3 linked regions of the Coturnix japonica genome follow. The protein of the gene in region 3 purifies or fractionates together with the protein of the main gene of each other region. This does not show direct contact. Links are inferred from orthologs where the notes say so. Each region holds a gene or a part of one and is shown on either strand. Other genes may lie near its edges.

Region 1 (4,620 bases), on a different chromosome or scaffold from region 3:
ACCTGAGCTGTTGCTTTAGTTGTGGGGAATGCCTCTACATAATGTGTGAGGTGGTCTATTATGACTAATACATATTTATATCTTCCTACTTTAGGAAATTCGGTAAAGTCAATTTGGACTCTAGAAAATGGCCTAGTGGCCAAGGGTCTTCCCCCCATAGGCAGTTTTCTTTGTACGGCTCTGTTTATCTTTAAGCACGTAATACATCCTTGAGTAATATGTCTAGCTAAATTATGTAGGCCTATACACATGTACTTAGTGGCAAAATGATCTATTAAAGCTTGGCTTCCCCAGTGGGTCCGTTCGTGCAACTGGGTCAGCACCTGAGATGCTATTGACTTAGGCAGTACCTCTCTCCCGTCAGCTAAATACCACCTCCCTTCTGTGTTTTTAGTTATTCCCATTTGATTCAGTTTTTGTTCTTCCTTCGGTGTAAACGAAGGGGCCTCATCATGTGTCAATTCTTCCTGCCTCTCCTGCCTCAGGACCAATTCCCTGAGGGCAGCTTGCTTAGCTTCTAGGTCTGCTGCATTATTTCCTCTAGTCTTGTAATCGGTCCCCTGTTGGTGTCCTCTAAGGTGTACCACCGCTATCTTTTTGGTTTCGTAGGCCACTAAGAGTTGCTTTATTAATTCTTGATGTATTAAGTTCCTTGGAATTTATCAATCCCCTTTCTTCCCAAATCTTCCCAAAGGTATGTATTACCCAGCTAAACATATATTGGAATCGGTATAGATAGTGCCCTCTTTTCCCTGTAATCTTTTTAGTGCCTGTAAAACAGCATACAGCTCGCAAGCTTGAGCTGACCAAGTGTTACTCAAGGGTCCTGATTCCAATACCCGGAGGGTCTTTCCATCTACTATTGCATCCACGCCTTGCACACGCGCTCAGCAGGAGTCCAGGCATGAGAATGACTGAGCCAGGCTGTGCCTGTGCTGAAAGCTGAGCAGTGAGGGTGCCTCTGACACGGAGCATCGCTTGGTGACATCTCAGCCTGTAGCTCAGTGATGTCACTGACCAGCACTCAGCCACAGTGGTTTCCTGTCTCCTTTGCAGTATTCCTTTTCCTGGAGGCAGGAGACCTCTACCCCCACTAGCATTGGACCTGCGATTTGGCAGATGAGAGGCTCCTCAACAGCTCCCCCTGGTTTGGGAGGCTGTAGCGGACCCCAGCCACTAGTTGTCCTTTATTTGTCTAGGCTGCCTGCTCTCAACCAGGTGACAGGTGATCACCCCCACCTGTCACACAGACCCTAGCCCATACGCAGACCTCTCACCTGAGCACGTGTAGCCATGGAATTACAGAGTCTACAACATTGCCGTTGTATGGAAAGTACTGACCCATCAGTGTGAGGAGAAAACTGTGTGGACCCATCACCCAGGTTTGCGAACCTGAAATAAATAAGCGTTGTCTCTATTGTGCATGTGATGAGTGACTTGTTGCACATCGGGTGGCATCTGAAAAGAACGAGCGGGGCATTCAAGCGAGGCATGACTTGTTTGGGACGTTTGAGCGCTCGGAACAAGCCTTCAGCAGGGCGAGGCCGGGCCGCCTCGGAACTGTCCGTGCCCGGAACGTTAGTGCTCCGTGCGGAGGAGCAGGGGACGCGTTTGATTGTGGCACCACGTCCCTTATCGCCGGGTCCGGGTGGAATGGAGGAACTGGCGGCGGAGTTGGGCGCCCTGACGGCGGAGCAGGCGGCGGCCCCCGTGAACACGGTGGAGGTGAGGGCAGCGGCGTGGAGCACGGCGTGGAGCACGGCGTGGGGCATGGGGTGGTGGTTCTGCGGCAGTAGGGAACCCTGCAGGCGTCTGGGTGCTGCCCTGGGTCGGTGCTGCACAGCACGTGTGGCTGCTGAGTTGGTCCCAGTCATCCCTTAGGGGGGTTTCTGCTCGTCTGAGCTGACTTTGGGCAGTGTTTGATTCTTTTCTAAATGACGCGAAATGCAGCTGCTGTCACAAACCTTTATCAGCTGTCACAGATGTTCGGTCACCTTGTGGAAACCAACTTTTCCACTGTGTGTTTTGGTTGCAGGAGAAATGGAGGCTCCTACCCGCGTTCCTGAAGGTCAGTGCGATGCACCGCCCCGGGCGGGAACACCCCGAGCCCTTTGTGCTTCACAGTGTGTGTGGTGCAGTGCCGGCAGGTTGTTTAGGCTCCCATTGCACCACAAGGCCCTCCCCGTGGTCTTTATATCAACTCCCTATGGACGCTGCTGTTGAGTCTGCAGTTGTCCTTGTTGCGTTCTGCAGAGGCTGCAGTGTAAGGTTATCTCTGCTCACAACTATCAGAGGTTGGTTGAGCTCAGAAATTGCTTAATTTCAGTGTTACTCTCATAATCTGGTATGAGGTGAAGGCACAGCGTGCAGTCCCTGCAGCCTTTATTTTGTGGCAGCCTAGTAAGTGTGATCCTTGCAGGAAAACAGGGTTCTGTTGGTTTTATGATACTGCATATGAGCAACTGCTCTCTCTTCCTACCTAGAAATCAGATTTATTGTGAGAGTCTGTCCTGTCCTTCTGTGGCTGTTCCCTTCCTTATTGACTTCCTTGACACCCCACTTGTCTGCTCTCACTGACTTAGTGTGGAACCAGACAGATTGCCCAGGCAGCTCTAAGATATTTGTCCACTGAAAAAATGTAACAGTGGTTCAAAAGTGCTTATAAATGCTTATATTTCAATCTCTACCTTATTTCAGTGTTGTTAAAGCTGATGCTATTTGCTGCATACATGTATTTTCCAGGTGAAAGGACTTGTGAAGCAGCACATAGACTCATTCAACTATTTTATCAATGTGGAGGTATGTTTTCTTAGTGGGAAGGGACTGGCTGTTAGGAGTCAGATAAAAAGAAATGGTTCAGTTCTTCTTTTCTTTTTTTCAGATAAAGAAGATCATGAAAGCCAATGAAAAAGTGACAAGTGACGCTGATCCAATGTGGTACTTGAAGTAAGTATAAGGCTGGTTTTCCTAATGAGAATAGCTTGCATACAGTCACATGAGTTTGTTAGTGACTGTGAAGTGTTTACAAGCATCAGCCTGAGCATAAATGGAGCAAAGCTCTTGCATACTTTCCTCTCACTTGGACCACATACACATGGGTGCTTAAAGAATAGTCCTCATAAGTAGACTTAACTCTGTTGTTAACAGTGCCTTATGTCACTATCTTTCTGTAACTTAGCAGTTTCAGGTGAAGGAAATCTGTTTCCCTTCTTGCAAAGGTAATGTGGGTTTGTTTTTGTATGTGCAGCTTAAGTTTTAACTAAAACACTGTTCAAATACAGCAGGTTACTTTGGGATGAATCATTGCTAATTGTTAATCAACCTTCTTTCCCATGAAAGCAAATTCATTTTCTACTTATTGTAGAACTCCTTTTCCTTCAAGTTGCCTGAAAGACATTTGGCTCGTTTTGAGGTTGTTTTGTGTTACAGATACCTCAACATCTATGTGGGTACTCCAGATGTGGAAGAAAGTTTCAATGTGACACGACCTGTATCGCCTCATGAGGTACTGATATTTGTGTCTGTGAGGGGTTATTTGTTTGACCTTAGTAATGCCTTGGATAATTGCTGCATCTGATTTTACTTCAGGCACATGCATGCCTTGTTTCATGATACAACACATGCTACCATGCTTGTAAAAAGAAGCCTCATATTTAAACATGGCATAGTAAATCTTCCTTCTATTATTGCTCTGACGTGTGTTGTATTCAGTGTTTCATGGCAGCTACATTTTACGCTGTAGATCACTTCAGACCCAATCTTCTTTGGAAATACATCTCTTACAGCTTTTAAGTCTAAGTCAGATAGAGAGCAAACACATAACCTTTGAGCAGTTAGAAGTTGAAAATATTTTTCCCCATGTAATGTATGTGGTACACTTCCGACTTTCACAGAGATGTTCTGTGGTTGGGAGAGCTGCTGTAAAAAAGCCCTCTGCTGGTTGTTGTAACATTAAATCAGTGCATTTAAACGTGCACAAAATGAGATGAGAAAGATTCTCCATATGTGAATGAAATTGCACGTGAGAAATTGTGGCTAACAACTCAGGCCTAAGAATGCAGTAATCAAAATTCTTGTCTTGTGTTGTAAAGCAAGGTGATTGTACAAGCACAATGAAGGCAAAATAAATGCTTCAGGGAGCATATTCACCCTGAATTTGGAATAATCAACTCTTGTATCTCAAATCTTCTCACCGACGCTTATTGCTAGACATTGTTTATTTTTTCTTTCAGTGGGTTATAGTATGTTTTATGTGGACAAAGCACACACAAGGAATGCTGAAGCCTTGTTTTCCTCAGATAATACTGAGTGATCTAACTCTCCTTCTCACACAGTTCTTTTGTGAGTTTTGTCAACTGTTTGTACAGATGAATTTGAAGTAATTAGAAATGAATATGTTCTCAATTACTTTTAAATCCAACAAAGTTGCCAGGAGCACAGTGGGATCCCATTTCCTACAAGTCATAGTTTTATATTTGCTTGTACACATCAGTATTTTATTACTAGAGAAATTGTGGAGAGAAGTGGTAGCCAGTTTGCAGTGATTCTTGAGGCATGTTTTTCCCTACAGATACATCCTCAATGCACAGTACTATCTTAATTCCCTTATACTAAAGCATA
Region 2 (4,761 bases), on a different chromosome or scaffold from region 3:
CCAGGCTCTTACCATTCCCTTGATCCTCTGTTTCAGGGCTCGGCACTGATGCAGTTCTACCTCCTGGAAGATGTGAGCCATGGAGCCAGCACTGTCCCTGGGACCCTGAAGTGCAGCAGGATGAGGCTGCATCAGGGTTTACCTGGCAGCTGTGCCTCTGGAGGGAGCTTTGGTGGCCTCCAGATGGAGGGGGCTGGGAGCGATGCTCTCGTGCAGGCTCTGAGCCAAGCCGGCTGCATGGGACTCTCCAGCAGCTTGGGGCAGCCCCTGCAGTGTATGCAAGGGGACGAACTGTGAAAGGCTGGGAGAGCAGGCTCGAGGCTTCCGTGGGCACAGGAGGGGTGGGAGGGTAACAGCTATTTAACAAGAGAATGTTCCTTTTAAATTATATATTTATTTTAGATAAATTGTACATAGTATTTATATTTATTGGAGGTCTGCCTCTGTACCCTTTGTGTAACTCAAGATGACCCTTGTGTGGGTCAGACCTCCTTTATTTTTTAAGTGCAATGTAATATTCTAATAAATAACTTTGTAACAAACACGTGAGTTGTTGATTTAAGAGATGTGGGTCAGGTCTCCAAAGGGTACAGATAACAACTTGCCCTTTATGGTGGGGTACTAAAACTACCCAGGAGCATCTGTGGAGCAGCGGCACAGATCTCAAGCCTGCTGGCCTTGGGGTGCAGCAGGGATAATCCTGCTGGGGTACTCCCTGGAGGGGGGAGGGTTATGGGGAGCTGGGGTGTGGTCTGCCCTGCTCCTTGCCCTGGAACCTGCAGCTGTGGCAGCCCCGCGTGTTCTTGTATCTCGGCTGGCTCATGAATGGCTGCAATGCTTGGGTGAAGCAAAGCCACCTTGAGTTCAGCCACTGCAATCTAAATCCAGTGCCCAGCAGGGGCCTGGAGCAAGGCACTGAGCCCTGCCACCCAGCCTGCCTCCCTCGAGTGCTCCATCCCACTGCTGACACTCCTTGTGCCCCAGCACTGAGCCCTGCAACCTGCAGCACACCTCCTCCTCCACGAACACCGGCTGTTCTCCAGAGCAAGGCTCGTAGGCAGGCAGAATCTTTGGATTTAATTTAAAACCAAATCCAAACCAACACAGTGTGTTACAGCAGCCTGTTTGATAACCAAGTGTTGGTGCAGTGCAGTGCCACCATTGCTCACCTCACAGCCATGATCTGCATGGAGCAGAAGAGCTGCAGCACTGCAGGAGCGGAGCTCGGCCTGCGCTTCTGAGGGAGGCAGCCAAGGAGAAACCCCAAAGCTGCAGTGCTGCCTCCCTTTGGGAACAGCCACAGCCCCGCGGGTGGTTCCATTCCCCCCAGAGGAGCATTGGTGGGATGCTGTGAGGGCTGAGCACCTCCCCGATGAAGGCAGGCTGAGGGAGCCAGGCTTGTTCAGCCTAGAGAAGAGAAGGCTGTGGGGTGACATCATTGCAGCCTTCCAGCATTTAAAAGGGGATAATAAACAGGAGAGGAATCAGTTTTTTACTGGTGTGGACAGTGATAGGACAAGGGGGAAAGGTTTTAAGCCCAAGGAGGGAAGGTTTAGGCTGGATGTTGGGGGAAGTTCTACACATAGAGCGGGGAGGTGCTGGCACAGGCTGCACGGAGGGGCTGTGGATGCCCCATCCCTGGCTGTGTTCAAGGCCGGGCTGGATGGAGCCCTGTGCCATGTATCAGATATGGAGGTCGGTGGGCTGGAACCTGCTGCTCCTCGGCCCCCTCCCACCCCACCCCGCTCTAACCTCCATTCGGCCGCAGCCCGCTCCGCCCCGCCCTCCCACCGCCCCCACTGCGCAGGCGCCGAGCGTGGGGAAGATGGCGGCGCCCGTTGACTTGGAGCTGAAGAAGGTAACGGGTGTCCGGCTCCGTCCGACGTGTTTCTCGGGCCGCTGCTCCCCCTCCTCCCCCTCCTCCCCCTCCTCTCCCCGCAGTTTGGGCCGGCTCGGCCCGGCCGGGCGCCCCCCGCCCCTCTGCCCCCGGCCCGGCCGCAGCCGCTCGACGTGCCGCTCTGCCACCACAGGCCTTCACGGAGCTGCAGGCCAAGGTGATCGACACGCAGCAGAAGGTGAAGCTCGCCGACATCCAGATCGAGCAGCTCAGCAAGAGCAAGAAGCACGCGCACCTCACCGACACCGAGATCATGACGCTGGTGGACGAGACGCGCATGTACGAGGGCGTGGGCAGGATGTGAGTAGCGGCCGCACCGTCCCTGCAGAAGCAGGGATGCTGGGCTCCACGAGGAGCATCGGGGGAGCATCAGTGTGCACCCGGAGTATCGGTGTGCACCCGGAGTATCGGTGTGCACCCGGAGCATCAGTGTGCACCCGGAGCATCGGTGTGCACCCGGAGCATCGGTGTGCACCCGGAGCATCGGTGTGCACCCGGAGCATCGGTGTGCACCCGGAGCATCGGTGTGCACCCGGAGTATCGGTGTGCACCCGGAGTATCGGTGTGCACCCGGAGCATCAGTGTGCACCCGGAGTATCGGTGTGCACCCGGAGCATCGGTGTGCACCCGGAGTATCGGTGTGCACCCGGAGTATCGGTGTGCACCCGGAGCATCGGTGTGCACCCGGGCACGGTGCCCTGGGCAGCACCAGCGAGTGTGTGTCGGGCTGGTGGTGTCCACGTGCCTCAGCATTTGGAAGTGAGCACGAGGCTGATGCGCACTCGAGGAGCCGCCTGCCCGCGCTGGGTGGTGTCTCACACCTCACACCTGCAGTGATGCACCTGGGTTATTCTGGCAGCGCAGCTCTGACTGCAGCAGCCTCATGAAGTGCAACACACAAACTGGGTTCCAGTCTGACGTGTGTGCTGACTCACTGTGCCGTGCTAACTTTCTGTGTGTGCTTTTTCTCTTCCATTGTGAACTGGGCAACAGTGATGATTACGCTTATTCAGGGATGATGTTTTATAGAAGGTTGAATCTGATTTGATTGCTGCCCACAGGGCGATTGCATCTCCCCGCTCCCAACTCTCCTTTGTGCTGCAGCAGACTTGTAGCTGGTTCAGCCTGCTGTTGCGGTGAGTTCCTGGGCCTGATTCATGTCATCACACAATCTGTTGGGTGAGTCTTAGGGAGCTGCGGGCTGGGAAGCCAGGACTGGTATGTGGACTGCGCTTCACTGGTAGTTGTCAGGTAAGACCAATGGGAAAATGAAGCTGTGCCTGGGTTCATCCTGGGCAGCCTGATCTAGTATTTGGCAGCCCTGCCTGCCGCAGAGGGTTGAAGCTCAGTGGTCTCTAGGTCCTTCCCAACTGAAGCTCAGTGGTCTCTAGGTCCTTCCCAACTGAAGCTCAGTGGTCTCTAGGTCCTTTCCAACTGAAGCTACTCTGTGATTTTGATGGGGGGGTGTGTAGCGTGACAGCCTTCTTTGGACCACTGTGGAATTACTCCTGTTAAGTTTTCCAAGCAGATGAACTTGGGTTTGTGTGGAGCTGCTGATGATGTTGAAAGGAGATAGAATTTGCAGATCTCTTGCAGGAGATAGCTGATATGACCCAGGCAGGCTGTAGGCTCATTGTTTTTGTCACAGAAAAGACAAACTAAGAGATTCTGGAAGCAACAATTTTTCTTCAAATTTTTTTTTATTTTTTTATCTTTAATCTTAAAGCAGGGTATACTTCTCCATTATGAAATAATTCCTCAAGATTCTTTGAAAGCATCAATATATCAGCCTTCATTGTAAAATGTTGGTTGTGAATGAGATAATGTTTCTGTGCTAACTGAAAAGTACTGTCCTGCTTTCAACCCAGCTGCTGGAGTCCAGTCTTTTTGAGACTGTACTCTTGCTTACCTTCATGTGACCGGGCAGGTGGTTCAGACTCTGCTGTGCAGCACTTTGCTCCTCAGTGATGGTAGAAAAATACTATCTGCATGATATTAGTCTTCAAATGTTTGAAGTGTGAACTCTTTGCGGGTTCTGTTGTCCTAGTCACTATGCAAATTCAGGTTAAGAGTGCTCATGCTCTCCAAACTACTTATTCACTGATTTATTTTACTTTTATTTCCCCTTCCTTAGCTTACTGCAGTGTTTCTGTGAGTTATGCCTGATTTGGCCATGGGGCTTAAGTCTGCCTTTCAAATTAGTAGTTCTATTTGGGTAGAACGAGCTATTCCAGGACTTTGTGAAAACGGAGTGTTTCAGGAATGTGATGGTGTGCTGTATCCTGGGAAGAAGTCTACCTAGTTCCATACTTCTGCGCTACTTGTAAAGAATTATGTGGTTCCTGCTCTGAGCCCAGAGCCTGCTTCCTGCCCAAGAGGCTTTCCCTGAGCCACTGGCAAATGTGAAAGCCCATTTGTTGTTCCTAAACATTTACTGTAGCTAATTTTGGTTTAACACAACCATTGTCAGTGCCACATAGTATGAGGTGATGAATTGCTGTGTACTGTACATATCTGTTTGACTAGGATATCATCTGAGTAGTGGCACCGTGCCAAATACATTTTCATTCTCTTACTTCATGCTCTTTGAAAGGCTTGTTATCTAGCCTGAGACAACTACCACTGTGGTGGACTCCTGCTTAAGCTATTTGTGAACTGATATCATCGTGCTGCTTTGAGAACTATGCCGAAAGCTTAAGCTTCAGAATTTTGTCTGAATGCTTCCGACCTTTCCCTTCACATTCCATTAAATAATGACCTGGGCCAGCTTCTTACTTACCAAAGGAAAACATCAGGGGTTTATGCTGGGCACAGTGAGGAGACCACTGCAGTTTTTCATGCCATGCCAAAATAGATGTTCCATT
Region 3 (4,515 bases):
AACCCACACCCCAGCTGCCCCACACTGCCTGTACAACCCCTCCATACTGCCCCACATTGCCGCATAGAAAACCCTCCATCACTGCCGTCACATTGCCTTAGAACCTCCATTCCTGCCCCACATTGCGCCCTTAGTATTAGCCACGTGCCATACTGGCCCCACATTGCTCACATAGAACCCTCCATACTCGCCGTCACATTGTGTTGCGGCTTAGGAACCCTCGCATTTCTGCGTACCACATTGCCCTCAGAAACCCTCCATACTGCTTCTTCACAGGCTCTTGCCCTTAGAAAACGCCCTCCATTTCTGCCCCACATTGGCCCTTAGAACCCTCCATTCTGCCCCCAACAATTGCCCTCTTAGCAAAACTCATCCCATTCTGCCCCACAATTGCCCACTCTAGAACCCTCCAATTCCTCGCCCCACATTGCCCTTAGAACCCTCATTCTGCGCCTCACATCCTGCCTTAGAACACTCCCATTCGTGCCCCACATTGGCCCTTGACAACGCCTCTCATTCTGCCCCACATTGCCCTTGACAGACCTAGCAGTGACTGCCCTCACAATTGCCCCTTAGAACCCTCATACCGCCCCACATTGCCCCTTAGAACCGCCTCCATTCCTGCTCACATTGCCTTAGACCTCCATACTGCCCCACATTGCCCTTAGAACCCTCCATACTGCCCCACATTGCCCTTACAACCCTCCATACTGCCCCACATGCCCTTAGAACCCTCCATACTGCCCCACTTCCCTTAGAAACCCTCCATTTCTGCCCCCATTGCCCTAATGCCCGTCCATATCTGGCCCCACTATTGGCCCTTTAGAACCCTCCATACTGCCCCACATTGCCCATAGAACCCTCCATACTGCCCCACATTGCCCGCATAGAACCCCCATATACATGACCCTCACGATTGCCGCTACAAACTCCTCCCATAACTGCCCCGACATTGCCCTTAAACCCTCTCATACTGGCCACACATTGCCCTATGAACGCCCCCATACTGCTTCGCCATCGCCCCTAAACACCCTTCAAACAACCCCATAGAACCCCCAACACCCTTCAAACACCCCATAGAACCCCAACAACCTTCAAATCACCCCCCTATTATGATAACCTTCCAACTGCCCTTAAATGCCCACTTTGATTCTCTCTTCCCATTGCCCACAGGATTTCTCCAGAACCCTGTATCCCCCCCCGGCCCGTACAATATCGTTCTCGCGGCCCCGCACCGAGGCGGGAGGCGTGACAGATGAGGGGTCAATGGGCAAAGTCCCTGCCACAACAAGATGGCGGCCGGCACTACCTCACCATATAGCCACCGCTGCCGGGTTTTGAGCCATAACCAAGATGGCTTCCATGGTGTTTCCTGTATACACCGGAAGAGCTTTACTCGCTGTCGCTCTGCGCCGGAAGAGAGGCTGCCCAGTTTCCGGTGTGCGCCGGAAGAGACGCAAAAACGGTGGAGGGGGAAAATGGCGGAACAGCGCGAAAGGGGCGGCCCGGAGCAGCGGGGCCGGGCGGGAAGGCGCTGGACGGCGGAACAGGTGGCGGGGCGGGGTTTGGGGACGGACAGAGGGACGATCCCGGGATCCCAGCGGTGACATCCCCGGTGGTTGTGGTTGTGTGGTTGTTTGAGCAGGTGGTTGGCTCGTTCAAACCGGTTTACGACAGGAACAGCGGCGGCCTGGCGTCCCAACAGGCGGCGGAGCTGAGCTGGAGCTCAACGAACACGGGTGGGGGGGACATCGGGGGGTAACGGGACGGGGGGGGGGGGGGTGGGGCTGGGGTTAGGGGGATGGGAATGTGGGGTTATGGGATTATGGGGGGGTTGTGGGGATATGGGGTGTGGGGAATATGGGGTGGTGGATATAGGGGGGGCGTGGGGACACGCGGGAGGGGTGTAGGGGCATGGGGGGGGTACGGGATATGGGGGGGGGGTGTGGGGACATGGGAGGCGTGGTGGGGGAATATTGGGGGGGTGTGGAGATATGGGGGGTTGGGGGTCATGGGGGCGGTACGGGGATATGGGGGTGTATGGGATATGGGGGGGCGTGGGGGGTATGGGATATGGGGTATGGAGACTGGGGACATGGGGGGCTATAAGGGGGAACATGGGGGTAGGGAAATATGGGGGGTATGGGGACATGGGGTCATGGGGGGGTGTGGGACATGAGGGAGGTACATGTGTATGGGGGTGTAATGGGAGACATGGGGAGGGTGTGGGGATATGGGGGGGGTGTGGGGATATGAGGGGGGTACAGGGACATGGGGGGTATGGGGCTATGGGGAGGTGTGGGGACATGGAGGCATGTGGGGATGGGGGTGTGGAGATATGGGGGTAGGGGTTTACATGGGTAATGGAATATGGGGGGGGGTATGGAGACATGGGGTCCATGGGGGTGTGGGGACATTGGGGGGAGTAACGGTGATATGGGGGTGTATGGGGACATGGGAGGGGTTAATGGGGACATGGGAGGGGGGTGTACGGGGATATGGGTTATGGTGACATGGGGCCAGTAGGGGGGTTATGGGTCATGGGGGTGTGGGGGGAACAACTAGGGGAGGGTATTTGGGGTCATGGGGGGTGTGGGACATGGGAGGCTACAGGGATATGGGGGGGTATGGGGACATGGGAGGCTACAGGGATATGGGGGGGGGTACGGGGACATGGGGGTGTGGGGACGTGGGGGGTATGGGGATATGGGGGGTACGGGGAACATGGGAGAAGTATAACAAGAATGGGGGGTGCGTGGGGGATGTTGGCATTATGAGACATGGGAGGAGGTCATGCGGGGAATAGTAGGGGTGTGGGGACATGGGAGGGCATTGGGGACATGGGGTGTGTGTGGGGACATGGCGCGCGGTATGGGATATGGGGGGTAAGCGGGAGCTTGGGGGGATTGTGGGGACATGGGGGGTATGGGATATGGGGGGTGTGGGGACTTGGGGTTAGGGGGGCAATGGGGGGGGTACGGGGATATTGGGGGGGGGGTGTGGGGACAATGGGGGGGTATGGGGAACGGGGGGGGGTATGGGGACATGGGGTCTTTGGGTGGGGTAGCCGGGGACATGAGGGGTACGGGGATATGGGGGGGGGTGTGGGGACAGTGGAGTGGGGGACATGGGGTGTGGGGACAATGGGGCCCAGTTGTGGGGACATGGGGGGGTATGGGGACATGTTGGGGGTACGGGGATATGGGTAAGCAGTGGTTGGGGGCACCTGGGCAAATGGGTGAGGGGGGAAAAAAAAAGGGGGGGAAAAAAAAACGGGGGACGTTTATGGAATAGGGGCAAGCAAGGGAATGGGGGGGGGCACGGAGGACATTGGGTACCAAGGAGGGGTGGGCAGCAGAATGGGTTTGGGGGGATACTGAAGGGAATGGGAGGGTAATGGGGGTGTAAGGGCGTGGGCTGGGAGAAAGATGGGGGTTGGCAAAGGGATATGGAGGGGGGGTGGTAACAGTGAATGGGGGAGGCATTGGGATAGGGGGAACCAGCGGGGGTGTGGGTGTCAGTGGGATGGGTGTGTGAGGGACGTTGTAAGGGGGGGGGATGTGGGGGGATGGAAATGGGTGTGTGGAAGGTGGGGGGGGACAGTACGGGGGGGGGGGGACGCTGGGGTGTCACTGGGTGTGTGAGGGACACCAGGATGAGGAGACACTGATGTGTCGGGGCACGTTGGGGATATGAGGGGGGACAGTGAGGATGTGGGGGGGGGTCATCGAGTATGGGGGGGTGACTTGGGGAGGATGTGGAGGGCGTATTGGTTGGAGGATAGGAGCTGACACTGGGGTGTGGCGGGGCTTGCATGGGGGGGGGGGCCTCCCTGGATGGAGGAGGAAACATATGAGGAGTGGTGGGAGCGACGCTGTGATGAAACGAGGGATCTGGTTGAACGCTGGGAGCGCTGCAGGGTTGACGGGGGCTGACGGACCCCCCCCCCCCCAACAGCCTCGTGATTGAGACGCTGCGGGAGGTGGATCCCACACGGAAGTGTTACCGCATGGTGGGGGGCATCCTGGTGGAGCGCACTGTCAAGGAGGTGCTGCCCGCACTCGAGGGCAACCGAGAGCAGGTAACTCCAAACCCCCCCGGCACCCACAGACCCCTCCGCTCCCTCCCATAAAGCCCCTAAAGCCCCTCCTCTCTCTCCTCCCAGATCAGCAAAATCATCGAGTCGTTGAGCCAGCAGCTGCAGAGCAAAGGCCGCGAGCTGAACGAGTTCCGTGAGAAGCACAACATCCGCCTGGTGGGCGAGGATGACCCCCGGCAGCCCCCCAAGGACGGCACCGAGGGGGGCAAGGGCGGCACTGCCGGCGTCCTGGTGTCGTAGCCTTGTCCCCCTGCTGCCCCCTGCCCTCGTTGAGTGATTTTGTTGAATAGATGTGGGGATTTTGGGTCACAAGTGTTCTCTAGTTACGGGGCAGAGCCCTGGGAGGTGGCACTGAGGGCGGTGATAGCGGTGGCACTTTGAGGACGCCCTTGAGCTGCCCCATGGCTGCTGGTGGC

Evidence for each region.
Region 1: the proteins of PFDN2 (region 3) and POLR3B purify together in Homo sapiens (affinity purification with mass spectrometry; 3 studies listed by BioGRID and IntAct, with this or other methods). This does not show direct contact. The link is inferred for Coturnix japonica from reciprocal best matches to the Homo sapiens genes PFDN2 and POLR3B.
Region 2: the proteins of PFDN2 (region 3) and PFDN1 purify together in Homo sapiens (affinity purification with mass spectrometry; 5 studies listed by BioGRID and IntAct, counting the BioPlex papers as one, with this or other methods). This does not show direct contact. The link is inferred for Coturnix japonica from reciprocal best matches to the Homo sapiens genes PFDN2 and PFDN1.

What each region holds. Positions count from the first base shown.
Region 1 is NC_029516.1:49,236,927-49,241,546, reverse strand, and holds the start of POLR3B (DNA-directed RNA polymerase III subunit RPC2), read left to right. Parts: upstream 1-1,592; 5' UTR 1,593-1,653; coding exon 1,654-1,725; intron 1,726-2,035; coding exon 2,036-2,068; intron 2,069-2,742; coding exon 2,743-2,799; intron 2,800-2,881; coding exon 2,882-2,946; intron 2,947-3,429; coding exon 3,430-3,505; intron 3,506-4,620. UniProt on the Homo sapiens protein: Catalytic core component of RNA polymerase III (Pol III), a DNA-dependent RNA polymerase which synthesizes small non-coding RNAs using the four ribonucleoside triphosphates as substrates.
Region 2 is NC_029528.1:15,557,922-15,562,682, reverse strand, and holds the start of PFDN1 (prefoldin subunit 1), read left to right. Parts: upstream 1-1,733; 5' UTR 1,734-1,825; coding exon 1,826-1,858; intron 1,859-2,030; coding exon 2,031-2,197; intron 2,198-2,958; coding exon 2,959-3,033; intron 3,034-3,154; exon of another isoform or gene 3,155-3,288; intron 3,289-3,320; exon of another isoform or gene 3,321-4,761. UniProt on the Homo sapiens protein: Binds specifically to cytosolic chaperonin (c-CPN) and transfers target proteins to it. Binds to nascent polypeptide chain and promotes folding in an environment in which there are many competing pathways for nonnative proteins.
Region 3 is NC_029540.1:2,483,157-2,487,671, forward strand, and holds the start of PFDN2 (prefoldin subunit 2), read left to right. Parts: upstream 1-1,478; coding exon 1,479-1,550; intron 1,551-1,677; coding exon 1,678-1,739; intron 1,740-3,957; coding exon 3,958-4,081; intron 4,082-4,165; coding exon 4,166-4,339; 3' UTR 4,340-4,515. UniProt on the Homo sapiens protein: Binds specifically to cytosolic chaperonin (c-CPN) and transfers target proteins to it. Binds to nascent polypeptide chain and promotes folding in an environment in which there are many competing pathways for nonnative proteins.